Linked DNA regions of Yarrowia lipolytica. The protein of the gene in region 1 interacts with the protein of each later gene in a pairwise test. Links are inferred from orthologs where the notes say so. Each region holds a gene or a part of one and is shown on either strand. Other genes may lie near its edges.

Region 1 (7,578 bases):
TTTTTTTTCTCACACTCAATTTTCCATTCCGAAAATGAACTGAAGTTTGACACCTACTTGTAGATGCAGAAACAAAAACCAGACACCAACCAACTTGTAGGCTGTCATTCTCGTAGTTGCAATAATGCTGCTGATGCTGATATGACAGGTGACAGAATCCAGTCTTTTTTATGCATTCTACAAGTACTGTAGGTGCTGTAACCATTATTGTAGTCCAATATCTCCGCTCGACAACTAGTCTAATTTCACCAAAAAATTTAGTTGGGGATTTACTCATTAACAAGTATTAACTGTTCGTTTAGTAAGTATGTGCATCTCTCTACTTGGTTTATTTTGGCCTTTGTTAGTTAGGAATGTCAAGTACAAGTAGCTTCGGTACGAGTATCAACTACAATGCTGTATCGAGCCGTACACACTGTATGGCGGCAAAATCACCCTCTCCACCTTACCAGTACATTCTGACCCACCCCTTTTGCCCCCTCCATGTTCTACCTCCCCCTTCACGACAACAATACGTCAAGTGTTTCAAATGCGGTTGAATTTCGCCTGATTTTGGAATTTCAGCAGCCCACCACCCCAACCTCGGCCAAACGAAAGCGGTTAATATGCGGTCGAATAATATCTGGAATATCTGGAATATTACGTCAGATTTTACGTCAAATGTTATCTACAAGTAGCAGCCATTTCCTTTTCTGTGTCAAAGGCTTCCGTTTCTAGCGTGACAGCTGTCGCCCACTCTACAGGGCCATGCAGGGAGACACGCGAATTAATACTGCGACAGTGCAGAGCGAAACTTCTGGAATCAAGCTGAAACATAAAAATGTACGACTCAAAGTCCTGCCTGCAGCACATTACAGTAGTACAGTATGTACAAGTGGGAGGACCGGTGGTTGTATGTACCGCATTTTTATGAGTAAAATATTGTACATACAAACAAGTACAGTACAGTATGCACTTTCACTTGTACACTGGCAGTGGGTCCCATGCGCGCTAGTGCCTTGTTTGTACACGCAAACCACTGTGGCAGACCTACCTCAACTCGTACAAGTGCTCTTGTTCTATACTTGACATCGCAAAGTATATACTTGGGTGTAGCAGTTGAGCACATACCCGCAATTGTATTGGTTAGAACGAACTGTCAAATCGGCTTTTACTCGGAGAAAAACACTCGTTAGAGTCCATCGTGTCACGTGCTTCACTCAACTCCAGACGCCCCTCAACACCCCTGTAGATGCATACAGGACCCACCTCATGCGCTGAAATGTACGATTTCAAGTGGAGTGCATGGTGGTGGAATCCTAGCGTACGTTATTGGGAATGTAAAGCGGGTGTCTCAGCTCCCCCTCGTCTGGTTCCGCGCTCTCTTCGACCACAGCAACTGGGGACCGCAACCATGGACACACACAGCAACCAGAAGGCGCAAACAAGTCGCAAACAAGTCGCAAACAAGGCACAAACAATGGCTTTTTTTTTTTTTTTTTTTTCTGCATAAACATTCATTTAATTATAACTTTGCTGTGAAAGAATAACCTTTGAAATGAATGTACGCTTACACGAATATTACTAATTAAACACGTTTAGTGTCATGGTCCAAAATGGCTTCTCTCACTATGGACTCTGTTTCCCCCAAACTCCAACAAATGCTAAACACACACTGTTTCACACGTGAAAGAAAATACACTCGGGTCCAACTCCACACACCCCTGTAACTTTAGTCAGACAAACGAACAGATATACAAGCATATTCCATGTGGCCATGTACACCTTGCGTGCAACCGAGAGCCTATCTGCGTTTGAAAAACAGAGTGTAGCGGAGACGATTTGGATTTTTCACAAAAAGCACCGGTCCATCTTAGTGTGTGGTCTGGTTGTTCAGAGTTGCACAGGGGTATCAGGGGTGTCTATGCTTGCTTTTTAGGCTGCTGAATCCTGCTAAATATAACGGCACTGCACGATAATAGCTTCAGATCCATATGATAGGAATATATCGTACGATACTGGATGGCGCTACCAGTTCTATACGAGCAGTGAGTGCTACAAGTGGTATTAGTATCACTGTGGCCATTAATTGGTGTCGGTTCTGTACATACAATGCCTCTATTGTTGGTTTTGTCAGCAGAGGTACTTTTTTGCAGCAAAACACTCTCTGATTGCACTCTGTCTGCACTCTGTTTGCACTGGGTAAGTGCTTTTCTCGTAAAGCTGATAAGGTGCTTTTGCCACGCTTTTTCAGCACCCCCATATTCTTGTCTATTTCCTTTTTGCAAACCCAGACTCAATATCTGCCAATATGGTGACAGGCATGGTGCATACGTACAGTATGTACCAGTTTTGCAGTTCAGTACGATCGTTAGATAGAGCACAATTGTATCACGGTGTCTTGCCGTGGAAAAGGTACGGAAACAAGGTGAATCTATTATTTATGATTGAACGGGGCTGCCGAATCGATATCTGGACTCCACATTGAGACCCCACTAGTTTACGTTCCCTGCTACATACTGTAAGCCAGTCTTCCTGAAATCATCGTTGCCAGCCTTTGCCCCAACTATATGCACTCCCTCAGTTCATCATATTCAAGAAAAATCACTCACAAATTCCCTCTTTGATGGTATTTCTTTTTTCGGGCCGCCATAAGGCGCAAACGGCCATCGACATTACAAGACACAGGGCTTGGTACTCGATGATAATTCTAACCTAATAAGACGAGATAGACGGCAAATTGAGTCTTTACGGCTGCTGAAGAGTTTGTTACTTGTGTGAGTGGGTAGATGCTTGCGGCACTGCAGCTACAGAGAAGTTATTTGCTGAGTGGTGCATTCCATCTTGCCATCTTCTGGAAACTACGATCTTATCTACAAGTAGTGATCTCTTTGTATTCAAGTTGATCTTTTTTGCGGGACCTATCAAGGTCAACTCTACCTGAATCAACTGTTGACCTCCATCCTACATCAGTGCCCATGTATGTAATAATTCATCACCAGCTTCTCCGATCAGAATCATTTGTATCGTCGGTGTTCAACAGATGCGTCTAGCTGGTTAAAGCTCGTATTACAGTATTGATTTACCTGGTGTGACTTCTTGGCAGGGCTCTTTGATCTATTTTCAACTTCACCACTTATTAATTTATCGCTATGTATTTTTTTCAAATATTTTCCAATTTCTCCCGTTAATTTGAGAAATAAAACCCCCCGCTTAATCATCTCTAAATCATGGCTCAAGTTTTTATCAAGGTGCATTAAGTTCAACGGGCAGGCGCTACTTGGAGGCGAAGAATAATTGAAAACAAATGTACTTGCTATTCTAATAAAAATACAGTAAAAATAATATTAAACATTTCATATCAATAATTGCAACCAGTAATTCGTTACATTTCAAATGTTTTCTCCCTTAAGAATCTCTTAAGAACAAGAACCAGTTAATCCTGTGCCTTCTCAGCTCCAAACTCTATCTGAAAAGTTTCTGGTTTTCCAAAAAAATTCCTCCCGTGCATAGTCTTATTTCCCACCCACCACACACACACACACGAACACACAATGGGAGCCCCCAAGTTGAAGGATTCTCTCAAGGCCGCTAAGGCCAACGACAAGGCCGCCAAGCTGACTGCCAAAAAGGGCGTTCTTCCCAAGCCCAAGGACCTGGCAGTAGTTGCCAAGCAGCAGATTGCGCACGAGGACGATGGAGATGATGAGGAGGACGAAGATGATGAAGAGGAAGACGAGGAGGACGAGGAGGACGAGGAGGACGAGGACAAGACTCCTGTTCTGTCTCGAAAGGAGGCTCGAAAGATGAAGAAGCTTGCTGCTGCTGCTGCTGCTGCCGAGGAGGACGATGATGAGGAAGACGATGATGAGGTTCCCCAGCTTTACGACACCACCCGTCTCGATCTGTCCGAGTCCGAATCCGAGATTGAGAATGTCGAGAACGAGGTGGAGGACATTCCCCTGTCTGATGTGGAGCTCGATTCCGACAACGACGCCATCCCCTACCAGAAGGTGACCAAGAACAACAAGCCTGCCCTGATGCAGGCCAAGGCTCGAATCTCGTTGCCCTACGCCAAAATGACCTTTGTCGACACCCTTGTGCATACGTCTGGAGCCATCGAGCTCAAGGACATCTACGACGACATGGAGAAGGAGCTGGCGTTCTACAAGCAGGGTCTGGATGCTGCCAAGGTGGCTCGAAAGGAGCTGCTCAAGGCCAAGGTTCCGTTTACCCGACCTCTGGACTACTTTGCCGAGATGGTCAAGTCCGACGAACACATGGAGAAGCTCAAGCAGAAGCTGATCGAGGAAGCCACCTCCAAGAAGGCTTCCGAGGAGGCACGACGACAGCGAGACCTCAAGAAGTTTGGTAAGAAGGTGCAGCACAACAAGCTGCAGGAGCGAGCCAAGGACAAGAAGGAGACTCTGGAAAAGATCAAGTCCTTGAAGCGAAAACGAGCTGGCCAGGAGATGACCTCCGAGGAGTTTGACATTGCCGTCGAGGAGGCGGCTGCCGACAACCATAATATTGAGGGCAAGAACCACAAGAGACAGGCCAAGGATGCCAAATTTGGATTCGGTGGCAAGAAGCGATTCCGAAAGGCCAACACCTCCGAGAGCTCGGGCGACCTGTCGGGCTTCAACCAGAAGAGAAATAACGCTCCTGTTAAGAAGCGTCAGCAGTCGAGACCCGGCAAGAGTCGACGAAACCGGGGTTAGAACAGGAAGGTAAAAGGAACTGATTATTCAGAGGTAATAGATTGAATGTTGAACTTATTACACGTGTACGAGTAGCATACCCACTGTAGATCTGCAAAGCTAGATGAGGTTGAAAACGTAAATACTGTAGCGACGAGATAGCGAAGATGATTTGATAGGGTACAATAGCGAGTACGAGCACAAGTACCCAGTGTGTGATCTACATTGAAGGGGTATAACTTAAGCTACAAGTACAAGTACAAGTACCGGTATAATGAGGTGGGGTCCATTTGTGTATGTGTACGTATTACTAAGTCAACATGTCAACATACAAGTACATCTTGTACTAGAACATACTGCAATGTTTCACAGTGTAATCTGACTCCAATGTGATACAGTGATGGAGATGTGACTCAGCTGTGGCTCAAGCCCTGACACCGACAATAGACATAGAGTCATGCTTTTGACTGACACTTTGCACCATGACCAACCTTTTGCCCACCTAACGACTTGTGCTGGATAACACAGGCCACGCACCAGAGCACCAGGTAGACTCGGACCAATTCAAACGGGTAACGGCATTGTTCTCTTTGCAGGCCTGAACTCAACACAGCAACCCTTCGGACCGTTGTTCTCAAGGTCAATGTCATCCAGCAGAGCCGTTCATACCCAAATTCAATTGATCTAGTGAACCCTGGTCACTATGGTGATGTGTCACGAAAGGCTGTCCCGATTGAGAGCTTTCGCCCACCAAATCGAGTTGTATCGTCTCACACCTTACAACACCGATCTCACACTTACCTCATTGGTCTTACTTATCTCACACCCATCTCATTTATCTCACACTTGAATAAGAACTTGAGACCGACGAAACGATCCAGGTCTCTCCCTTTATCTCTTTTTTTTTTTTTTCCTTTTATTACTAGCTTTTACACTTTTTCATGGGTTATTGCGGGGAGCCTATTAAAATGGTCTATAACTTCAGGAGGGGAAATAGTGCACAAAGGTACAGTTGTTACCATATCAGGGTGGGTTAGAGTCTCATTAAGGTAAAACACTCGTGGAGTTCTATGTGCGGATTTGTTGCTGTAGCTGTTCGAGATGAAAGTAGAATGAGGTTCCAGTCGGATCTTCCGGAAGGTATTTTTCGCCGATCTCTTCTGATCTCGCGTGGCGTGTACTTAAAGCCGAGTGATGTTACTTCGGTTAGAGTTGACACCCTTGCAGTCCTGCAGACACGACAAAGGTGTCAGTTCGATTCTTGGTTGCGCAGACAGAAAATTATCACCCTCATTAGTCGAAATGGCCTGACAGAAGCTGCAGAGAAGAGCAGCCAGGTCTAAAAATTTACCCGAATTTTTAGTATGCCGGAATTTCGGCCCTTTTCTGGTTCAGATCCATCCCAGCATCATCTCGTTATATTTATACTTGTACCTTTTATACAACCGTACCTACGTATATGTCAGTCACTTAGCTCCCGCAACTCATTTTTCATAGGCGCAGGGTGTGGCGTTCAAAAGTGTCCAGTGAGTGAACCCCAAGTTTGACAAGTAACATACTGACCATAAGCGCTCATTGAACAACCAACAGTGTGTCACTCCCCTGTGCAGCAAGCCAGTTCGTAAAGGTCAACCATTGTATACGATGCTGCATCCAAACGATGGTTGGTATGCAATATTGGCAAAAAGCAGACCACCTGTCAAGTTGGTTGCTCTTCTCAGCGGTCTCTTTTGTTGAACTGGAACATGTGAGATAGCCAAGAGAATGTGTCACATCTCTGGAGCAGCGAATACAACTCACAAGGGTCGACTATGAGGTTGCGCGGGTAAAGTGTGCGCTACAGGATACGTACAATAGACAGGCCCCGGTTCCTTCAAACACTCGAGAAGCTAACTCCGATTGTTGAATTGAATCGTTTTTTTCTGCGAAAAGCTGAATACTGTAAAGTCGTTTGCTCTCCACCGATCCTCTTGCTCACAGACTGAACCCTGGACCTTCAACAAGAGAAAAAGAAACGAAAGAGACATTGAATGATTGGATTTGAGCATAGGCAAGTTTAGTGCACTCAAGAGTAGATGGAGTTGTTCAACTTGTTTTCCCCAACTCAGCCGCCTTAGCGGGTTGACAGTCGTATAACCAAAGCGTAAAGGTCAGGTACAAACGTAGGTCATGTTCTATTATTGGACGCAATTGCTGCTGCCAGGGGCGAAAGAACAGGTTTAGAAGACGGGAAGGCAGCGGAGAAGGCACTCTGCAGAAGTCGCTTGTTTATTCTCCTTGGGGATTGATGGCTGCTTTGGCGGGGATGTATCGTCAACAGATCGTAATAGCTGGGAACAAACCACCGGCCCCGATGAATAGCAGAGCTGCCATAGCTCACAAGTTGTATGATTGTTTATGAAAGGCACACAATGAAACTGACTTCTCACAACCTCCGAGGTCTTACAAACTACTCAAATTTAACGTCCCAAACACATTTTTATGTGTTGGAGTCGCATGGAAGTTGGCCAACTTCCAAGGCACTTCGAATGGACCCTGTAACCTCAATTCAGCTGCTTAGCGAGACTCGGAGACACCCGAACAAGGACTAGAACGCCGGGAAGCCCATGAGCTGTTTCGCTTATTCCTTCTTTGCTTCAGATATGGAAGTTTGAGGTGGTGTGATGATTCTCTAAAGGATGACCCTTGACTAGACTTAGGTGGTGGCTGCTTGAAAAAGCAACAGCACTTGCAAGTATCCACGAAACAAAGACCGCTTGAGTTTTCCTCCCTTGTAACCAAGACCTATAGCTGGACGACAAGGAGAGAGTCTATATGTCGATAATGAATAGAAGACTTTGAGTGTCCCGTTGCCTGGGCATCAAATTGCTTGACTACTTGTATTCTCCAGGTTCTATAG
Region 2 (6,584 bases), on another chromosome or scaffold:
AAGGGGAGTGTACTGTATATGTGCGGCTTTACCTGTAGCTGGGTCTCTAAAAGCCTGGATTATACGACATTCCAGATACAAGAAGTGAGGCTCCTGAGACTGTCTCACCTGGTTTGTTGGATCAACCGGACTAGAGGAGCCCAACAATAGCAAGGTTGTCGATTGTCTTTGGAGTAGGAGCTGATCAAAGGGGGTCCAGACTGCCCTGTAAACGTTGGAAAAAACATACGCTGGGTTGAAATACGTGGGTTTGTGGCGTTTTATAAATGCAGTACAAACAATGGAGTCATATGGGCTCTGTATTATATTCTGTTATGATACCAGACAAGTTATACATATCCGAGTGTATAAATGTGAGGACGGACGACGGGATTAGTTATGATTTTGTCTCACTTGTTAAGGTTGGTGTTTAATTCAGTTAAGAAAATTGCGGGGGTACTATAAGTGAGACAGCATAAACGGGCAATACGAAGCAATATCGAATGGTCACACACACGCATTTATATATATAAAAGCGCCTGATGAAATCTAATGATAGGGAAGCATTACTTTTATTAATGGTCAGACAAGTAGTCACTGTAGAGATTGCGTTACATTAAATAAACCTGTTGCTATCACTGGTGGGCTCCAGGCATCATCACAGCCTTGGGGATCAGCCACTTGTAGGTGGACTGTGGAGAAGCCACACCTGCGTATCCGTTCCAGCATCCAAGTAGACCTGTAGAGATACAGAAGCCTCCTCCAGCGTTGGTGAGCTTGGAGTTGCTCTGGAAGTAGCCTGCAGCCAGGAAGATGAGGGCCAGGTCGAGGGAGATGAAGAGCAGGAAGAAGGCCACTGTTGCTTTTAACGTGCACAGCGTCATGAGGAAGGCAAAGATGAACCAGCCCATGAGGAAGATGCCCACGGACTGTGCAAACTCGTCTGGAGTGGAGTAGTACTTCTCGATACCAATGGGGAAGTTGAGCATGGACCAGGAGAACCAGAAGGCGCCGAAACAGAAGAAGACGGTTGCGGCAAACGTGTTCTCGGCCACAATCTCCCAGATACCAGCAATGACTTCGATAAGACCTCCTCCGAAGAAGGCACAACCAACCATGACATTGGGGGCATGGACATTACGAGCATTGACAAGACACATGCCGAGAATGAACATGGTCATGGAGAAGGCAAACAGTCCAGAAGGAGCAGCGTTACCAAACTGACGAGTGGGAACGGGTGCAGAACCAGGGTTAAGAGTACCACCAAAGGCACGGGCAAAGTCGTCTCGGTGGTACTTGACCCCGCCAATGTGGATGTATTCATCTCGTTCTCCCGAAGTACGGACCCGTCCCAGCACAACAGGCTCGTCCTGGTGGCTAGAAGGAGTCTCGATATCTTGTGGGTGGGAGGTATGGGGTTTCAGATCGTCTGACATTGATGATTGTTGGCTGATGAGGAGATTAGAGGACCCAAAACGCCATTTTATATATCAACGAGAAGAGTAGTAGAAGCAACGAAGGCCGAATGTGGGGTAAAAGGGAAAATGTACCCCTCGGTCAGCTTTGTCTCAGCGATATAAAAACGGTTCATACCTGGTCAGCCGTGTTGGTGGAGGATTCTGTTATGGGTGGATAAACGAGTTTCTTTGTCTGGAAAACTCGCTCCAACTTGCCAAAATGAATAACAAAGTCGGTTGATGAATTCCTATCCCTTCATCAGACCACTATCGCTAGTCCTGACGCTTCGAAGTGTGACCCCCAATTTACTCGGCATAAGATTGAGATAGTAGGAGCGTAAATTGAGTGTAGTGCTGCTCGCTTAAGCTGGGATGCGTCTGGCGGGGTAAAACTTTAGCGGTCTGAATGATGATAGAAAAAAGGGATAAATCATAGGTAGAGGGCATCAAAAGTTCTGAGAATGTGTATTCCTTGGACCACTGACCCCCAAGTTATAGCTCCTCTTGGCGAGATGGGCACTAGTTGGTTCGCCGTAGTCTGTCTGGTATAACTGACGCACTAGCACAGGTGTGCTAGCAGAGAAAAAGCAACCAATTGTGCAACGTTAGTCGTAGATAACCACTATAGATCAACGTGGTAGTGCATTCTGTAGCTTTAGAGACAGTTCCAGCCCGGCAATTACCTCCTTTGGCGTGTTTGTCTGGACACTTTTAACGGGTGGGGTTGTGTTAATTGTTCTCATCGAGGGGTCTCAGATCGGCACATCATCGGGGCAGGTCAAGATTTAGAACTGAATCCCAACTAAGGTGTCCTTTCAACCCAAACAGATGGCGGGGCATGGCCCGGAGATAGTGGTGATGTATGCAGGAGTGCATAGATCCGGTGGTTGTTTTATGTTGTGATGTTGAAAGAGATAGGTCCGAGCAACAGAGGGTCCCGTGAAACAAGATGCAAATGAAACGCGCAAACGAGATGAACCGACAAACGCGCAGGCGTAAATCGACAAGCCACCCCTGGCAGGCCTATTACGTCATTGTACCAGCGATTGCTGTGATCATTTCGTCGCACAGTTCTGTCACTCCTCAATATGAGACATGTAATAAGTGATAGAGCCGCTGGTGTCTCCGGGGTGGTCCGTGTAACAATAAGCTGTCAGCACTCTTTCGTGGCTGATGGCTAGAACCACACTGTCGCAAATTAGGGCCATGTTGGTGAGTAAACACCAATCTTTGCAAGGAATAGACACGGTGGCAAACTCGGAGCTGTTCGGCTTTGCACGGCTTTCCCCAGTGAAGTTTTGTGAGAAGCGAATCTGTGACGAATGGGGACCCGATCCCTGAGATGGTAGACTCTGTTCTTCCTCCTGTTCACCTGCGTCTAGCTGCGGGTTCATTAGCCCCTTCCAGTCCGTCTCCACGTTGACATCGACCGCGTCCAAAGACAGTTTTAAGCACCCCGAGTTATTGGCACTTAATGTTACGAGCTTGCCCAACCGCTTGTATCGCTCACTGAGCTTGGCGATGTTCAGCGTAGGTTTTGGTAGCATGATGTATACCTGTGGCTGGATTTCAGGCTGAACCAGCAGGTAGCTCTCCTCCTCTAGTTTCCGTGGATCCACCGGAAGATTGTGTGTCACCACCGTGGGTCCTCTTTCTCGATGCTGTGTGATTCGCACTTGTAGTTGCAACAGACCCTGGTACTGACGTAAGCTGAGCCGTACCTCGTCCATGTGATACGAACTAGAGCTTTTGAGGGCCCGGGCAAAGTCGTCCAGACTCACCAAAAACACACACATGTCGTCAAACGCACTGACACAAACGTACTGGTTGGGATCACACAGGTAGTCGACGGTGAAGTAGGCGAACAGCGAGATGGTGGTGCCGTCATTGGAGGCTGGCGATACGATTCGCACATCCGTCGGGGCGAAGATGATGTATGCCTCCTTGCGGACGGCCATTGCTGCGTTTAAAACATCTCTCAGCAGCGAGATTCGGTCCAGTTTGACCCTCAGTTTCATTTAGTCGCGTGATGGTTGAGATTTCGTTACAGTGGCACACGAATCATGCACTGTACTTTTAAGGTTCAAGATATTTTTTGACCCTAACCCTCAAAATTCAGGCGCAGATTATGCAGAGAAAAAATATTTGTGCCCTACACATCATACACACACCCACGCACGCACACGGAAGAAAAATGTCTGAGCAAGAAGAAGTGCAGTTGCCCAAGCTCGGAAAGGCACCTCAGGTGCGAGTCAACGGCAAGAACTGGAAGGAGACCAAGACCCCGTTCCGAACCTCGAGCCTCAGTGTGCCCCTGAAACATAGATCGTGGGAACGACGGCAAAAGGAGCGGGAAAACCTGCGAATGATCAAGGCTAAAGAGAAGGAAATGAAGGACGAAAAGGAGGCTGAGCATGCCGAGAAGGTGCGACGAATCAAGGAGCGCCGAATGGCCAAGGAGGAGAAGGAGCGACTGGAGAAGATGACTGCCATTCTGTCGGCCAAGAAGCTGGCTCGACGAAAGCGGAAGGAGAAGCGAAACAAGCTGCTCCGAGAGCGAAACTAAGCCATAGTTATTTATTTTGAAAAATAGACACTCTGTTATTTGTCTGGTTTGGAGAGTATTGAAGTGCAGTACATACTGTACCCGTGAGGGAACGAGTTCAGATGAAACTTCCGCTTGTAGTACTGGAATTCAAGCAGCGATATACTGGTATCTTGTACTTGTGTGTATAAGTATCAAGAGTGATCTCTGCTTCTTGTATAACCGCTTGCTACTGTGAGCTCAACATGGAACTGCTACGGAAGCAACTACAACTACAGTACATACAGTACGAGTACTTGTACGTTGGTATAACCATTGAATGTATTCCTCACTGCTCCTAGATGACAAACTACAGCCAATCGTTCAATTTCATCGCAGTGACTGAATCACTATCTATTAATCAGGCAACATTATACAATGTCTGTCTATTCTCTGTGCTGAACCATATAATCCTCAGCTACTTTAGAGGACTCTTGTCCTCCTCCGATTTTGGTGGAGCGGGGCTGACCTGGGCAGTCTCATGCGCACTACCAGATTCTCCCTCGCTCCCGTAATCTCATAGATGATACAGGATCGAACCGCACGTGTGGTTGATCTGTGGAACAAACGTGTCCAGAGGAACGGGGGGAGCTGGGGGATTCTGATTGGATGCCAAATGGAACACATCCTGATGCTGGGGGTGGCGAGGATGTGCTGAACTGTTGAGATGGAACACTTCAACTGACGATCCATAGACACACATGATTCGGTCGCTCTGAATGTATTGCATAGCCAAAGGCTCGACTCCTGCCCTTGTAAGAACTTGACGTGGTGGCATACTGACAGGAAGACGCACCTGGTCCTCGACTATACCCCTGAGGGGAATAATTGATATCCTCTGTCTGTAGTACACGGCCATGGCTGTGGAGTCCCAGGAGAGACAGTACTTGATGGATTTGAAGTCTTCCCTCGAGTTGACATTACTAATGTACAGCAGGGCTCTTTGATCGTCATCCTCCTCATCTTCCGACAGCTCCTCTTCCGGCGAGCCCGTCACTCCCAGTTCAGCGGTAGCTAATGCAAAACGGGCGCGATTTTCGTCCGGTAGGTGCTTGACACAAATGTAGCGACCAGGAGTAAGTAATGCAAGCACTCCATCGCAACTGAGACTTGTGCTCATGCTTGTTTCCATAAGCGTGCAGTAGTATTCCCACAGAGCACCTTCTTCAGTAAAATCTTCCTCGTCCAGAGTATCTGCCTGTCCGAAGATGAGAGCCTCCTGGTTTCCAATCAGTGTCATGACCTGGTCACGGGCCTGGGCCGACATTCGGAGATCTAGACGGAAATGTGGCACGTCAATCTCGTTTGTGGTCTCAACATTGATTATTGTGAGTCCACCCAGACGCCTGGCTCTGACCCACATGATGAAGGCCTTCTGAGACACGGCCAGATACTCGATCCGGGACGGAAACTGTTTCGAGTACTTGGCCGGCACGTTGGCCAGGTTAATGATGCCGCCTCTGTACTTGGACAGCAGTTCCTCCATGCAATATAACCGCACTCTTCCGAACCCAAACACCACGGCCATGTATTCATTATCGGTGGAGAAGGTGACCAGCGGAATTTCTTCCTCCGTTTTCCAGCCAAACAGGTAGAGCGGCGGGATGTTGTTGCAAAACTTTTCGCTTCCGATCGAATAGACAAAAATATATTTCCCCAGCGAGACACACAGCAGAGAGCCGTCTGGAGAAGACCAGCTCGACGCAAACGTATCTCTGCAGTCCGGCGACAGCCTCAGGTGGATCTTGAGGGTCATCTGACGAGCAACCCATTTCTGCCGCAGCAAGTTAAGATAGGTGGAGTATAGTGGGGTGGACGACAGATCGATTGTGTAAGTCGTCGGCGGAGCCGGAGTCACCGTTTTCGTCGGCGATGTTGTAGTTAGCTGTTCGGAGTCGTCGTTGTCCTCCGACTGTGTCTGTGTCTGCTCTCCATCGTCTTCGGGTGTCTCGTCGTCGTTTCCTCTCCAGTTCATGAGGGTCTGGAGATGGTCAGTCAGCACGGTATCATTGCGGGAAAAAACGCGCAGCAACTTGCACGTCTGGCCAATGTACAGAAACGAGACCGGGTCGAGCAGCCCGATGATTTTGCCTATGATTTCAGGCGGCAATGAAATCATTTAATCGACGTCGTTCTGTGCAAAAAGTGGTGATGCTTAGGTTCTGCACCTCTGAGTTTGTAGAAATAAATGTCTAAAAAATATCCAAACCTTCTCCAAGACACTGCCATGAACTCCAAGGTCGTCACCCAGCCCGAATGGGCCTATTTCGAGCTGGAATTGTGAGTACAGAGGCTGGACCGGCGTTCGAGTTTTGCGCTAACACAGAATCACAGAAAACAACCGCAGCCAGGGCTCGTTGTTTGACATTCTCACATGGAACCGAACCATCACCTCGGCTCTATCAAAACTGTTTGGAAACGTCGGGGAGGCGATCCACTTTGACATTCTGCATCATTTTTTCGCCGGAAATCGCCAGGCGTGCATTGTCCGAGTCCCGTGCGACTATCGAGACCGGTTCCAGGCTGCTGTGGCGGGCTTTCAGGGCTCTCTAGACTCTCTGGGA
Region 3 (8,003 bases), on another chromosome or scaffold:
TGATACATATACGGCGGTGGCAACACCTGCCCATACATCTGAGGATGTCCGTACATGGTCTGCGGCGGAGGCAGAAGATTGCCACCCTGGTAATACGGCACAGCAGGGTACTGGTACCCTCCGTATATTGGCGGTCCCTGATGGTACATGGGATGCTGCATCATGAGAGGCGCGCCTAGTGGCAGAGGCATGTGTTGCTGCTCGTGTCCGTTGAGTCTGTGTTGACCCATGGGAGGCGGCGTGGGCTGATGCTGATGCTGCTGCTGCTGCTGCTGCTGTGGAGGTGGTGGGGGAGGTTGGTGCTGTTGCTGTGGAGTCTGCTGGTGAACCTGCTGCTGGGCAGTCTGTGGAGGCGGAGGCTGTTGCTGTGGCACCTGTTGAAGAGGCGCAGGTTGCACACCCATAGGTTGCATGATTCCCGGAGGCACGGGGAAGGCTGCATGAGGAACAGGAGGCCGCTGGAGCCCCAGAGCCGTCAGATCCTCGTTGGTCTCGTCCTCCGTTGCCTGAGAAATCACAGGCGCAGCAGGGAAACCAACGTACTTGGATATTCCAGACAAGAGCGAAATCTCGTTCACCTGAGCGTTCCGCTGATGAATCTGCTCGCTCTTGCTTTCAGGGATAGTGTAGCCGTAGTCGGGAACCATGAGATCCATGGCCCGTCTCTCCCGGTTGACTCTATACCACTCTTCGGTCGTCTTGAGCAACAAGCCGCTTCGGGCGTCACCCTGATCCTTGAGAAACTGCTGGTGAATCTGCACACGCGACGCACGTGTCTGGTTGTTGATGCACTGCAGCTTGTATTTGCGACGCGTCTTGGCCAGTTTGATCTTGTCGTCACGCATCTTGGAGATCTGCTCGTAGACCGCATGCAGCTCGGGATGTGTGCCCTTGACACAGAGCCCCATTTCCACCTCAAACGCCGCCAGCTTCTCCTTGAACATAAAGTCGCGGAGCTTGGCGAAATCGACCTCGATCTCGGCGAGAGACGTCATGGCCGCAGGCCGCATGTCGACCTTGTCTGCGTCTGCGGGAGAGTCTTCCTTGTCATTGTCGTCGCCTTCGCCTTCCTCGTCGCCCTCGTCTTCCACCTCCTTTTCCTCGTCTTCGTCTTCGTCTTCGTCTTCGTCTTCGTCTTCATTCTCCTCCTTGTCCTTGTCCTCCTTGGTCACCTCCTCCTCTTTATCTTCCTCGTGTTCATTGTCGGAGGGCTCAGTCTGGTTGATGGGCGTAGGCATATCCTTGGTTTCGTTGGCGTCCTTATTGTCGACATCAGCCGTTTCTGATTCCTTGAGCCCCTCCTTGGCCTCGGCCTCCTTAGACTCATCCACAGCCTCTCCTTCCTTCTCAGAGATATGATTCACCTCAGGCTTGATGTCCTCAACAGGCACGGGCAAGGGAGGCGGTACTTCCTCGAGAGCCGAGGCAATGGCACTGGCAGTGATGAGCCCGGTGTCAGGACCCACATCTCCACCTTCTCCTTCTGCCTTGGCTGTGGTATCCACATCCATTCGGGCCGTTGTGTCTTCTTCTCCAATGTCATCATTTTCGTCGGTTTGACCATTAACTTTGGCCCGCTTAATATCTCTGTCATCCTCCTCATCGCGTTCACGCTTCATCTGCCGGATGTGGTCTTCCGACGACGATTCGCGCCGGCGCTTGAACGACTCTTCCTCTTCGTCGACCAGATCGTTGAGATAGAGCCGTTCGGTTTCGGCCTCGGAGTCCTCGAGTTCCGAGAGCTCGGACGAGTCGTCGCTGAGGTCCGCGGGGTTGAGCAGACTTGCTTTTCTGCCGTTGGACGTGGGCAGCGGCATGTCGTCTGTGGAGACAATGCTCGCGACCGTGGCAATACCCGAGTCGGCGTGCTCGGGATGCGTCACGGAGCCCTTGTCGCCCGCCGATTGTGTGTCTGTAGCTGTAGGTGGGGCTGTGGCCGTAGCCGTGGCCGAGGTTGCGGTTGCTCCTGTCGATGGAGACGGAGAAGAACGGGTCTTCTTGTCAGTTGGTGTGTGTGTGTCTCCGTTTGTGCCTGTGTCGTGGTCCTCTGCCACGTCATCCTTCAGCTCCTTGGCTTCGTCCTCATCGTGCTGCTGCAGGTCCAGCATGGCCTCGGAGTCGAGCTCGGATAGCGGAGACGTGACCATGTCGTCGTCGTTGGCGGTCATCAATTGGGTCGGTGTCGGGTTAGCGGCGTGCTCGCTTCCGGGTCTTGTAGAGAGCTAACACGTGACCTGTCGTTCTTTTCTCGGTCACCGTCGTCGCTCGGGTGTCGTGTGGTAGTGAGTGAGTGAGAAGAGAGAGAGTAGTGTAGTGGAGCTGCCGACTATGTTTTTTACTGTTGATAACAACGCAAGTCTTTTCCACCATGCACCAAACCCAGCTAAGTTTGGTGCGCATACAAGACGTGCGGAGAGGAGCACGTTATGGGAGAGAGAGTCGACAGAGGGCGAATAGTGCACATGCTGGGCCAACCAGGTTCCCAGAAGGGCTGTCTGGTGGTTCTGACAACTCGATTGACCGGCTTTTTGTCGTCTCCTCCCCTCTCATCACCACCGTATGGAGTCCCTGCAATCGTCTTCTTTTTTTTTCCCTTTTTTTCCTTCTTTTTTTCTCCCCTTAAAATACAACCATCATCCCCCGCCAAATCCACGCCCTACCTTGCTCCCATTTACACACACGATCATACCCAACCATGCCTCCCACCACATCCCAGGGGATAATCGACGTCAGATGATCGCCGGAAAGCCACCATGGACTCCAATCGACCGTCGCTCGTCGGTGTCGAAATTTGGCGCCGTTCCGTCCAGCCAATCTTCATATAATCGCCCCTCAGCCCCCCCTGGCAGCCGTGCCCCCACTGCCGTCGTATGTATGCAGAGCCACTCATTGGTTGACGGGACAGCGGCGCGTGTCAGAGGGTGGTGGAGAAGTGAGTCAGGACTGTGGTTAAGAAACGCGTCAAGGCTGAGGTTGTCGAAAGCTGGCACCGGAGGTTGATGATTGATGGCTTGGGTTGGATCGTGTTTAGAGGAGGAGATGCATAGGTTATGAGTATTGCTATTTGTGTCAGATTATGACCTCCTTGAGCCTTGCTAACGAATATAGTGGGGATACAACTGAGACGCCTGGGTCCCTTGGCCAAACTGGCGACCGGCTCTCTTTTATTCTAGCCGTAAATCGAGAGAGGGCTAGTTGTACTATTACACTGGACGCCTCCCACACAACCTTTATATGGTGTACATGTCTCATGCAAAGTTTGAATTTTTTTTGGCAAGAGTTTGAACAGAACAAGTGAGCTCAATCATTTGACCATCCAGCGACAATGACCACCACAAAAGACAACTCCGGACTCGCCGCGCTCTTTGCCAACTCCAGTGGTCCTCGTCAGAAGCCTCAGCGCGCTGGCAAGGTCGACCCGGTGCGTGACCAGCAAGAGGATAAGATGGAAGTAGAGGATGAAGAGGAGGATGAAGAGGAGGACGAAGAGGACGAAGAGGAGGATGAGGAGGATGAGGAGGATGAGGAGGAGAAGGAGGAGGACGACGACGACGACGACGACGAAGAGGAGATCGAAGAGCCTGTTATCAAGAAGAGCAAGAAGAACAAAAAGTCCAAGGAGGAGTCGGCCGACTTGGAGGATCAGTACATGGCCAAGTTGGCCGAGGAGGTGGCCGAGGAGAAGCCCATGGTCGCAGAGACCTCCGCGGAGGAAATCAAAGTCGATGAGCCCGAATCCGATTCTGAGGACGAACCCGAGCTGGACGTGGACGAAGAGACCAAGAAGAAGCTGGAGGCCACCAACAAGGAGCTGGACAAGGCCGACTACACCATTTTTGTCGGCAACGTGTCGTCCGAGGTGATCACCGACAAGACCGTGTACAACAACTTCAAGGCTCTGTTTGCGGCCATTGGAACCGTGGCGTCTGTGCGGTTCCGGTCCATCTCCTTCTCCAAGCTGCTTCCTCGAAAGGTGGCTTTCATTTCCCAGCAGTTCCACTCCAAGCGAGACACGGTCAACGCTTACATTGTGTTCAAGAACGTCAAGTCCGTCAAGGGCGCTCTGACGCTCAACGGCTCGGTTTTCAAGGGCTTCCACATGCGAGTCGACTCCGTGGCCCATCCCGGCGCCCAGGATCACAAGCGGTGCGTGTTTGTGGGAGCTCTGGACTTTGAGGAGCAGGAGGAATCCCTTTGGGAGGCCTTTTCGTCTTGCGGTGATGTGGAGTACGTGCGAATTGTGCGGGACCCCAAGACCAACGTTGGCAAGGGGTTTGCATACGTGCAGTTCAAGGACGTCAACTCGGTTGAGCAGGCTCTGCTGCTCAACGGTAAGGGCATCAACGAGCTCTCCAAGTCCACCACTAACAAGCGCAAGCTGCGTGTGTCGCGGGCCAAGAGCCAACACTCCCAGGAACGGGCCAAGCAGGCCGACATGAAGAACATTCGAAACGCAAAGACCGAAGGCCTGTCCCGAGACGAAAAGTCGCACTTTGGCCGGGCCCAGTCGCGGCTAGGCAAGGCCGGCAAGGCTCAGCTACAGTCCATTGTACAGGAGGGTCTGCGGGCTAAGAAAGAGGACGGCAAGGTCAACCTGGCCCGAAGCAAGCGACGAGGAGTCAAGCCCAACAAGAACCGAGTCGAGAAGCCTGGCCAGTCCAGAGCCGAGAAGCGAAAGGCCATGTTTGGAACCCCCACCAACGGCGCTCCCGGAGCTGGCGGCAAGAAGAAGCGTCTTACAACCCGATCCCAGAAGTTCAAGCAGGATGGAGGTGTCAAAAAGGACGGAGACGCCAAGAAGGATGGCCCCAAGAAGGAGAGGGATGGCTCCAAGAAGGGTTCCAAGAAGAACTAATTGGGTAGAGGTTGTATAGGTGAAAATAAATAGGCATTAGATTATTGTATTGTATTGGGGAGTAGGGTGGCAGTAGGGTAGCAGTTGAAGAGTTATATAAGAGTGTGGGGTTTACAGATGTGGTGATGGGGGAGTTTGTAATAGAATCACCATGTAATTCTCATCATAATGGTCATCTCTTCCAACAACACCATGAATCTCAGCTTGGATGCTAGAGGACGCAATAACGGGAGATGAAGAGTCGTCCGAGTACGGGCAGGTCCATGTTCAAGATTAGAAAGGTTTCTTTCCTGTTTCAGAGTCCTACTTTATCTCTCCCTCGAATTAACCACTACCTGGAACGTTGAGATTATCAAGTAATTGTCAAGTAAATTATCAACTACAAGGACATTATTGTTACTGGAAAAATCAGCATGAAAGCCACCCATATCCATGGTTCATACAAGTACAGTACTTTCATCGTATACGCCTCAAGAGATACCATAAATCACATGACTTCCACCGCCTGCCACCCTCCACGAAATCACGTGCCATATACCCCTTCCGTATATCCGATGTAACTGAATAACGGTATGTCCATGCTGTACTTGTACTGGTAGTCGAACTGTAGATCTTGTGGGTAAGATTTTGGTGGCGAACAAGACCATCACAATGAGACCAGAAAGAACCATTGACTGGGTACAAGTACAAATACAAGTATAAGTTCTTGGGGCGAGGCTCATCACGTGACACACCCGCGCTATATCATTCCCGTGTCACGTGACAACGCCGGGTTCCCGCAGCTCATCCGCTCCATCCGGGACCCACCTCAGGAGGAGTTTGTAATTTCCGGAGTTCGGAGTCCGTGCTTAAAAATAGCACGCTGTAAGATAACCGCGTGCATCCACACAGCCACAGTGCGAAGTGTGAGGATCAATCAGTCTGAAAAAAAAGGGGTTCAATGAATGTGAGAGCAATTTTAGAAGAGATTGGGGGGTCTTTTGGGGCTGTGAAATACAACTCCGCTTTTATTTGGCCCCCAAAATGGGACTAAACGGCCTCATCACGACCCTTCTCTTCTCCCCTTCCATATCACACGACTTGCACCGATAACGCAATCCCCACCCTTTGCAACCTAAAAAAAGAGTGCCGTGTAACCACAAAGGTCTCGCGTCTGTTGTTTATATATAGCGTAGGGTCCGACTTTGGCGACCACCAAATAGTTTGCCCTTCTTCTTTTTCTTCCTCTTCATATCATGGGCTCCTCTCCCTCCAAACAAGCCCAATCGGACGCGCAAAAGTCGCTAACCCGGCTGTCCAAGGTGTCTGAAAAGCACTTTTATCCTGACACCGCCACTCCCGACTTGGCCACTCTTCCTCAGCTACAATCCCTGCCGGATATTGACGGTCTGGATCTCAATGGAGACAACAACGAGAAAGACATTGCCAACCTGCTGTCTGAGTGGCGAGCCAACTTCCTGGACTCTCCCAAGAACCGTCTGGCTCTCGCAGCTCTGTCCAGAAGTGACTACCAGTCGTTGCTGATCCAAGACGACAGATACAATGACCAGAACCCTGCTGTGTTCACTCACGTGATCAAGTACGACGGCCAGAAAGACACCCCCGTGACCAACCAGCGCTCTTCAGGAAGATGCTGGCTGTTTGCCTCCACCAACGTGTTCCGAGTCCAGCTCATCAAGTCGTCAGCCATTAAGCCCAAGGACTTCCAGTTCTCCCAGGCGTATCTCTTCTTTTACGACAAGCTGGAGAAGGCGTCGTATTTCCTGGAGCAGATCATCGACACCGCCGACGAAGATCTCGACTCTCGACTGGTCCAGGAACTACTCAAGGCTCCTGTCAACGACGGAGGACAGTGGGATATGGTTGTCAATCTGGTAGAGAAGTATGGTCTGGTGCCTCAGGACGTGTTCCCCGACTCATGGAACGCCCAGAACTCCGGCCATCTCAACTACTTGCTTACTAACAAGCTGAGAGAGTACGGTCTGGCTCTCCGAAAGCTCATCCAGACCGAAAAACCTACCCCTGAGCTGCTACTCTCCCTGCGACGACAATACACCCAGAACGTGTACAACATTCTTGCTACTTCTCTGGGAGTGCCTCCTGCTGCTAACGAGACCTTCAAGTGGGACTACTGGACCATTGATGGCAAGCCCCAGCAGGTCACCACCACCCCCATCAAGTTCTACAGAGACAATCTCAAGCACCCCGCCTCGCAGTACTTTTCCCTCATCAACGACCCTCGAAACGACTACAAGCAGTTGTATACCGTTGACCGGCTTCAGAACATTTCTGGAGGCCGTCCCATCACCTACGTGAACGCCGACATCTCCGAGCTCAAGAAGGCCGCCATCAAGATGATCCAGAACAACGAGCCTGTCTTTTTTGGTTCTGACGTGGGCCAGTTTGGAGACCGAGCCACCGGTATTCTGGATCCCAAGTCGTGGGATTACGATCTGGGCTTCAACACTTCTCTGGGAATGAATAAGGAGCAGCGAGTGTCCACTGGAGCGTCGTCCATGACCCATGCCATGGTGATTACCGGAGTCCATCTTGAGGACGGAGTACCGGTTAAGTGGAAGATTGAAAACTCGTGGGGAGCTGACACCGGAAAGAAGGGCTATTTCCAGATGTCGGATAAGTGGTTTGACGAGTACGTGTTCCAGGTTGTTTCTTCTGCCCAGTACGTTCCCAGAGAGCTTCAGCAGGTGCTCAAGACCAAGCCCAACGTCCTGCCTCTGTGGGATCCCATGGGAGCCTTGGCCTAAGTGGGGTGTGAGTCTAGTGTTAGATATAGCTGGTCTATGTGATGAGTTGTGATGAGATGCGGCGAGATGAATAATAAAGTGGTAAAGACGAGTAATCGTACCACAAACGCAAAAGCAAGTACAAGAAGAGCAAGTACAAGAAGAGCAAGTACAAGAACCAGAATGATACGTACAAGTAGTACTACGGTATGCACTTGTAGGATAACACCTACACCCGATACTGATTCGTACGGGTACTTTACCAGTATCTCTGGTGATGAACACGGTATATTGTATCAAGCATGCCGACAAATACCATTCAACTATGCCTGCAAGTACCGTACGAGTACGTACTAATTTCTCGATACTTTGACGCACATTTGATTAGTCTCGTATCTGGGTCT
Region 4 (7,402 bases), about 2.6 Mb from region 1:
AAAAAACAGTACAATACAGAATCACGCTAATGCACAAGTAAAATCCAACTAATGTTAGCTAGTTACTCAACCAATTCTAACTAATAACCACTCAGCCCTAATAGACATTTTACAGGTGACTACTTGTACTCGTACTGCAATATCAACCATATATTGATACACGTGACGTCCCAACGCCCTCCCGAGCCACAGCAACCAACCGCGTACTCCGCAACACCAACTGCAGCTCACGTTATGTCGCATGGCGCATCGTGTCCCACAGAAGGGTCTCTATCACGCTGCATAACCACTCTAACTCCTGAGATTGGTGAACTTTAATTTAGTAGCAGCTGTGAGAAGGCCATTTGAGCTCCAAAAAGACACTCAGGAAAAGCGAAAAGAGCACTGTATATCCCCTAATCGTTACTAATCAAACCGTGCCTGTTCGGTTAAATAGGGTTAGGACTGTTTCCTCATCTGAGTGGTCTGTCCCAAACAGGCAACCTCTCGTACCTCCCAACCCTGGGTTAGGGTGTGACTTTGGCTCTGTTTCCTCCCAACTGTCACGTGAATTTCCCAATTAAGCCAAAAGGCAGTCACACATTCCCATTCCCAGATGTACACTCTTTTTTCATGCAGCTCCGGAGCATCGGCCGCCGTCAGGTATAGTGGATTTTCACCGCTCTCATTTTCCACTCACCTCAACACCCTAAACATCAAAAATGTCCAAGCAGATCGGAGGAGCCAAGAACGGCGGTAGCCGAACCGTCCCCACTGAGAAGGCCCCCAAGTGGTACGTCGCTGAGCCCACTCACGTCAAGATCCCCACCGTCCAGAACAAGTCCAAGCTGCGACCTTCTCTTGTTCCCGGTGCCGTACTCATTCTCCTTGCCGGCCGATTCCGAGGCAAGCGAGTTGTTCTCCTCAAGTCTCTTGAGGATGGCACTCTCCTTGTGACCGGTCCCTTCAAGGTCAACGGTGTCCCTCTCCGACGAGTCAACGCCCGATACGTCATTGCCACCTCCACTAAGGTCGATGTCTCCGGTGTCAAGGCTGACAAGTTCACCCCTGCCTACTTCGCTCGATCTTCCGCCGACAAGAAGGCCGAGAAGCAGTTCTTCGCCGAGGGCAAGCAGAAGGAGCTCAAGGCCGAGCGAGTCGCCGACCAGAAGGACGTCGATGCTGCTCTCATTGCCGAGATCAAGAAGACTCCTCTTCTCAAGCAGTACCTGGCTTCCCAGTTCTCTCTCAAGTCTGGTGACAAGCCCCACCTGCTCAAGTTTTAAATTATAAAAACACAAAATGGAACATGGGGGTGGAAAATGGTGGACGGTGGTGAAGCCGTCGTCTGTCAAAAGCTGTATAGCAATGCAATTTGAATTTTACTTACAAGTAGGCGCGAAGCGACTATTTGTACTCGTAGCCACAAGTGGGAGTCAAAAGTAGGAGCGTATATATACGACTGCGTGCACACGTAGAACCAAAAAAAGGCACTGGTATCTGTAGCTCTTACTTGTAAACCGCATTTTATAAATTGTTCCACAAAATGCTTGCCTGTGGTGATGGCGTTGTGCTGAACAGCGCTGACTAGCGGTGATGTGCTGTATTAGAACCTGTGTTTACATGTACTCACCGATATTTACGTCCCGAGTTCGACTCAGACCATGGAAGCCACTTGTACGTAATCACTCACTTGACAAACGGTCTTCTGTGAAGAACCATTGTACTTGTAGCTTGTTGCTGCGGTCTCTCTCTGTAAATACATTCCATGCTGTTCAGACTGCTACTGCCATGCATCTCTGGTCGCTGTTGTTCCGTTGTGAAGCGGGCATCCATTAGTGGCTCTGGGGTGTGGGAGGATGTTGCTTGTAGTTACCTACAAGTAGAACAATGATGGCTCTTCTGGCACGAGTAGTAAGAGTCGAAGTATTGGAAACTGGTGTTCTTTGCACTTTTTTTTGTATTACCAACCTGTCCAGACCTTGTTACTGTAAATGCTACTTTTAGACAACTGTCATACTGGACTAGGCTTGATAAAACAATGACCTTCTAAACTCGCAAGTTTCCTCTGACCTGGTAGATGACTTAAGATAGCTCCCCTCGTCTTTACCTCTCAGACATATTGGTGCCAGTTGCTGTTCACACAGCATGTACGGTAGGTGTCCATTCGCGATACCACTCTCTCTCAACTTGGACACTCTTCCTACAAATGTACAACCGCCTATCATGACCCGTAGCTTCTGGTGGCTACACTGCGGAATGTATCTCACCAGAATGAACACCAATTACAGCCCCTCTGTCACCATGGCATTAATTGAGTCGCCACCTGGGTGTTTGCCACCAACTGGACCTCTACCACATCTTCTGCTACAACATGTCAACATGTATCTCCTCATCTACAGTACGACGTCATCAGTGCATCGTCTATGTGGAGTGCGTTTTTTGTTTTTTTCACTGTGCAGCTTTATATACAGTCCATGGAGCCAGTTTTGGTGGGCCACGATTTGTGAAAAAACCGTCGTCTTTAGTTAAGGCTCAGTTGGTGTTTCACTTAAAGCAGCCGCCCAATGTCCGTGTGGTGCCTGCCAACAAAGCAGCAAGTATTGGGGGTGAAATGAGATGGAAAAAAGAGTAACAAGACCAAAAATGGCTATATGGACTGAGAAGAAGTACAGTTACACATTCTATAGTGACCCGCCATAGTCCAACCCCTATACATGTGACAAATATCCATTCCCATCTCTGCCTCACCTCGCCGCCACCTTATCCTGCACGCCTTACATGAATAATGTGTATGGTGTTGCTGTTCCAAAGAGTTCCATGGGAACGAAAAAAGCCATTGCTCGAGATGGGGGCGACCAATGCAGACCAATCACAATCTCACATGACCAATTCAAGGCTACCACACTACTGGACCAAGCAGCCTTCTCTGCCAGATGTCCCTAAGTTGCTATAAATGTTACGTGACGACACAACCAACAACGATTGCAAGCACCAAGTCCCAAGTCCAAATAGTCCCACGTTTATTTTCCATGGATTGGGTTTGAGAGTGCCTTGATGGGCTGCGAAAGACGACATATCGCCTAACAGCAGTGGACGGTTCTACATGTCATATACACGTATGTTGGTGCATGTGTCCTACCAATTACCTCGATAGATCCCACCATTGCCACAATAACGGTTTCACCGTCTTCCACGAGCTCCAGCCAAATGTACAGCACTCCCGTTAAGCTCTTAGTGCATATGCAACCTTATTCCAAAAATTTGCCCATTTTAAATACTTGGGTCTGCACTTTTGTATCTATCACACACAACAACCATGTCTAACAACGCCAACAACTGCCTTCCCCTGGCCTCCTACACCCTGGCCGTGTTCCCCGGAATTCCCGTGGCCCCCATTGAGCAGGACTTCCCTGTTTCTGTGCGAATCACCATGGCTGCCATTGATCCCGCCCGAATTGAGGGTGATGAGGAGGAGCCCGCCACTCTCCGAATCCTTAAGCCTGCCGACAACTTCGACGATGAGGACGACGAGGATGACGAGGACGAGGATGACGACGATGAGGATGACGAAGTCTCTGCTGAGGACATGGCTCAGATCAAGAAGCTGATCGCCGCCAACGAGGACGGTCTCGATGAGGTTGAGGGAGGAGACGACGATGAGGATGACGACGAGGACGACGAGATGGAGTTCGAGGAGGACGATGAGGACGACGACGACGAGGGTGAGATTGAGGACTTTGTTGTCTGCACTCTCTCCCCCAAGTTTGGATACCAGCAGACTCTTGATCTCGTTATCACCCCCGGTGAGCAGATCATGTTCGAGGTCACTGGCTCCTACGCCATCCACCTCTCCGGTAACTACATTGAGCACCCCTACGACATGGAGGACGAGGATGAGCTCCTTGCTCTCGGTGAGGACGACGAGGATGATGAGGACGAGCTCGACGAAGGCGAGTACGATCTCTCTCCCGATGAGGATGAGGTCATCAACGGTGACGAGCGACTTGTCGAGCTCATGGAGCAGGACGACGAGGACGATGAGGACGATGAGGATGAGGAGGAAGAGCCCGTTGTCGAGCCTAAGAAGATCCTCAAGCGAGCCGCCGAGGAGAAGAAGCAGGAGAAGGCCGCCAAGAAGGCCAAGGTTGCCTTCACCAAGAACCTCGAGCAGGGCCCCACTCCCTCCGAGCCCAAGCCCAAGCTTGTCACCCGACAGCTTGAGGGTGGTGTCAAGATTGAGGACCGAACCGTCGGTGAGGGTCCTTCCGCCAAGGTCGGCTCCAAGGTCGGTGTCCGATACGTTGGCAAGCTCGCCAACGGTAAGGTCTTTGACTCCAACTCCAAGGGTAAGCCTTTCTACTTCTCTGTCGGTAAGGGCGAGGTCATCCGAGGATGGGACATTGGTGTCCAGGGTATGAAGGTCAAGGGTGAGCGACGAATCATTATCCCCCCTGGAATGGCCTACGGTAAGCAGAAGCTGCCCGGTATCCCCCCCAACTCCCAGCTTACTTTCGATGTTAAGGTCGTTAACATCAAATAAGCGATTATCTTCCAAGCCCACAAACGACTGGCCAAGACAAACATATTGGTTAAGTATGTATTTAATGTATTATTGATATAGACGTTAAGGTGTATGCAGTATACTTGTATGTAGGTTGATGTGAATGTACTTAACCCCGGTCACACGTCACTGAGGTTCATGACTTGGCCTGGTTTGAGATTTAAGGTGCCTGAACCAACTACAGGGTGCAACCAGCTTATAAACTGGCCTTCAATATGCTGAATTCCACTGCGAAAGTCGAATAGCACATTAGTCAGAGGGTAGATTAACAGAGTGAGTGTATCTATCACATGTGTTGTTTCCAGAGTGTTGTAGCACACGTATCTATCATCATGGTAACCGATTTCCACCCCATTGGGACTCACCTGATGATGTTCTCCAGTAAGCATGTTCTTCACTTGAAGAGTGTAGTTAGGTCCCTTGAAGAATAGCAGTCCATTTATAAGGACGCAATTGACACTGTTGGCGGAAGCCATAGTTATACATCCTTCCAACAAGTTCATTCTCCTCTCCTTCCAGTTCACAAACAGTATGTCACTAAGAAAGTCTTGTTTGTCTGTTTCCTCTGAGTCTTCCCAGTATCTATGGAGATAGACAAAGGTCTGGTTTGGATTCGAGGCTCTAAAGAGATGCTTGTGTCTTGTGTTTTGGTATTTCATAGGTATCTGGACTCTCAAATCTGGTCCCTGTCGTTTCTGCCACACCACGCTGTTTTCTTCTAGGGCGATGGACTCAAACTCCTTGTTGAATTCAGAGAAACAGTACCAGGACGTAGTATCAGTTCCTCCTTCAGTTTCCACCGCTTTAACACTCCATTCCCGATAGTTCACCACATACCCGATCTTACCGTCTCCTTGTATGTATACGAGGTGTTTGAGGAACCCAGCCTTCGGACTAGGAGGACCTGCCTTCTGACTGCACTTGGTCAAAGGTCCTGTGGTGAAAACCAGAGGTCTGTTGAGTCGAATGACGCTGTTTTTGGCCTTCTCACAGAACTCTCCCCCGATATCTTTCAGGTATAGAGCCCAAACTGCATCGGACAGTTCGTTGCTCAGATGAAAGAGCTCTCTGCACGAGTATCTGAGGTTCAGCGCGGTGCGAAAGTCGACCAAAGAGAAAATCTGAGTCCAAATATCGTGGTTAAGCATGTTTTCAGTTGTTTGAGCGGTTTCCAAAGGTCTGGCAAAAGTCCTTGTGACATTGTGTTTTAGTGTATGTTAGGATGCATTTCGGTGGAAAAACATGTGGGTTCATGTTCGTTAAAGGCGATAAATTTGAAAAGTGAGAGTCGGTGACAGATTTGAGATATTTGCTCAGTAATTTTGTCATGGTTATACGATCCCTAGTTTTACTCATAAATACAGCACTTCCCCAAGGAACTCTTCTCTATCCAACGATGCTACATGCACTATTGTAGTCTTGGCTACTAGTGTCAACTTGTTTATTCGGCTTCGGAGGGTGCATCAGTCTAGATCTGGATACTAGCATCTTGTGAGTGTCATCATAATGAGTACTCGTACAAGTATCTACATTGTACCGTCTCGAACTTGCATGTGTGCTTGCACGAGTACCTATTTAGTACTGTCTCACAATGTCTGGTCTCAGTGTCCTATGTCTCAAACATCTGGGCCTTAGGGTAGCCTCCCATGCCTTAGATTCTCGTAGCTCAAAACAAAATAATACATTATATATGACTTCTAAACACTGCTTTCGGTCTCCTTTCCGTAAGACCCATCGTCTCGCTGTTCCGGGTATTCTTGCTGTTCGGGGTAATGTTCCTGCTGAACGTCCTGGAACTCGTTTTTTTCGCTCTTGCTATGCTTGACAGCTCCGGCGTTGATGTGGGTTCGGCCCCAGACGAAGCCGGGGTAGAAGACGGTCAGAATGGTGATGGCAATGAGCATCATCAGACCGTCCAGCACAAGCAGGTAGGCCTCGTGCTGAAGAAGATTGCCGTACCAGCCCTCAGCCAGCTCGACGACTCGGTAGACGGACCGAGTGAAGACAAAGCCAAAGGCAATGTATGTAGCAATGACAAAGTACTTCATCTTGGGCGACTCTCGAATAGCAATGATTTCGGGGTCATTGGCTCGAGAGTCCGCGACGTTGGGGTTACGGATACCCTTGTGCACTCGCCACAAGAAGTCAGTGGTCATGATAAAGAAAATTGACATGGTGAAGACCTGAAAAGCCATACCGGCGACCATGATGTGAGTTCCGTCGTCGGTAGACTTGTTGTCGTAGAGAGCAGTGGCTGAAATACCTCCTCCTACAGCCTGGATGACAATGGAAATCAAATCACAGGCCACGAAGATCAATGTGTACACCAGAGGAGCTACCCGACTGTAGCTCTCTCCGTAGATGACGACAAACTTTGCCAGCAGACAGTAGACACCCGCCATTATGAAGGCAGGTGCCAGAGTCAGACAGACAATCTGTAGAATGAACTCGTTCAAGTTCTGGAGATCCCAGGTGGACAGGAATCGGCCCAGGTATCCGAGAAACTCCAGACAGATGCCACAGAAGAAGGCTCCTCCAAACCACCATTGTCGGTAGTACAAGGCCAGCGCTCCTTGGATAGCCCACAGGATAATGAAGAGAATCATTCCCACGAGATTGGCGGCTCGACTGGGTCGCATTCCGTAGACACCATACTGGGAGTACACCCAGTTGGACCATTCGTCTGGGGTCATTCCCATCTCCTCTGCACTGGGGGGAGCAGCCAAACACAGGCCAATGAGAGCTGCCACGACTATGAGCGTTGAGATTTTCATTGGTGTCGATGGAGACGAAGGAGGTTGGGAGTGGAGAAGGCGGCCATCAAGTACACTTGTACGGTAGATCTACATTGAGAGATAC

What was found.
Region 2: the proteins of YALI1_E06882g (region 1) and YALI1_F17547g interact in binary tests that used the Saccharomyces cerevisiae proteins (3 or more experiments, as listed by UniProt). The link is inferred for Yarrowia lipolytica from reciprocal best matches to the Saccharomyces cerevisiae genes EBP2 and CGR1.
Region 3: the proteins of YALI1_E06882g (region 1) and YALI1_F08757g interact in binary tests that used the Saccharomyces cerevisiae proteins (3 or more experiments, as listed by UniProt). The link is inferred for Yarrowia lipolytica from reciprocal best matches to the Saccharomyces cerevisiae genes EBP2 and NOP12.
Region 4: the proteins of YALI1_E06882g (region 1) and YALI1_E32816g interact in binary tests that used the Saccharomyces cerevisiae proteins (3 or more experiments, as listed by UniProt). The link is inferred for Yarrowia lipolytica from reciprocal best matches to the Saccharomyces cerevisiae genes EBP2 and FPR3.

The regions. Positions count from the first base shown.
Region 1 is NC_090774.1:684,750-692,327, forward strand, and holds YALI1_E06882g (uncharacterized protein), read left to right. Parts: upstream 1-3,533; coding exon 3,534-4,700; downstream 4,701-7,578. UniProt on the Saccharomyces cerevisiae protein: Required for the processing of the 27S pre-rRNA. Probably involved in the step of the processing of the 27 SA precursor into the 27 SB intermediate.
Region 2 is NC_090775.1:1,751,824-1,758,407, reverse strand, and holds YALI1_F17547g (uncharacterized protein), read left to right. Parts: upstream 1-3,630; coding exon 3,631-4,002; downstream 4,003-6,584. Other genes in the region: YALI1_F17581g (uncharacterized protein), read right to left, coding at 1-54, 109-227; YALI1_F17569g (uncharacterized protein), read right to left, coding at 615-1,415; YALI1_F17565g (uncharacterized protein), read right to left, coding at 1,567-1,690, 1,747-1,883; YALI1_F17549g (uncharacterized protein), read right to left, coding at 2,513-3,454; YALI1_F17522g (uncharacterized protein), read right to left, coding at 4,538-6,139; YALI1_F17520g (uncharacterized protein), read left to right, coding at 6,209-6,300, 6,347-6,584. UniProt on the Saccharomyces cerevisiae protein: Involved in nucleolar integrity and required for processing of the pre-rRNA for the 60S ribosome subunit.
Region 3 is NC_090775.1:872,382-880,384, forward strand, and holds YALI1_F08757g (uncharacterized protein), read left to right. Parts: upstream 1-3,325; coding exon 3,326-4,855; downstream 4,856-8,003. Other genes in the region: YALI1_F08745g (uncharacterized protein), read right to left, coding at 1-2,168; YALI1_F08784g (uncharacterized protein), read left to right, coding at 6,091-7,620.
Region 4 is NC_090774.1:3,277,497-3,284,898, reverse strand, and holds YALI1_E32816g (uncharacterized protein), read left to right. Parts: upstream 1-3,298; coding exon 3,299-4,522; downstream 4,523-7,402. Other genes in the region: YALI1_E32842g (60S ribosomal protein eL6), read left to right, coding at 702-1,265; YALI1_E32792g (uncharacterized protein), read right to left, coding at 4,663-5,691; YALI1_E32776g (uncharacterized protein), read right to left, coding at 6,241-7,317. UniProt on the Saccharomyces cerevisiae protein: Proline isomerase that belongs to an abundant class of enzymes that catalyze the cis-trans isomerization of X-Pro peptide bonds and can accelerate the refolding of proline-containing polypeptides. Specifically binds nuclear localization sequences.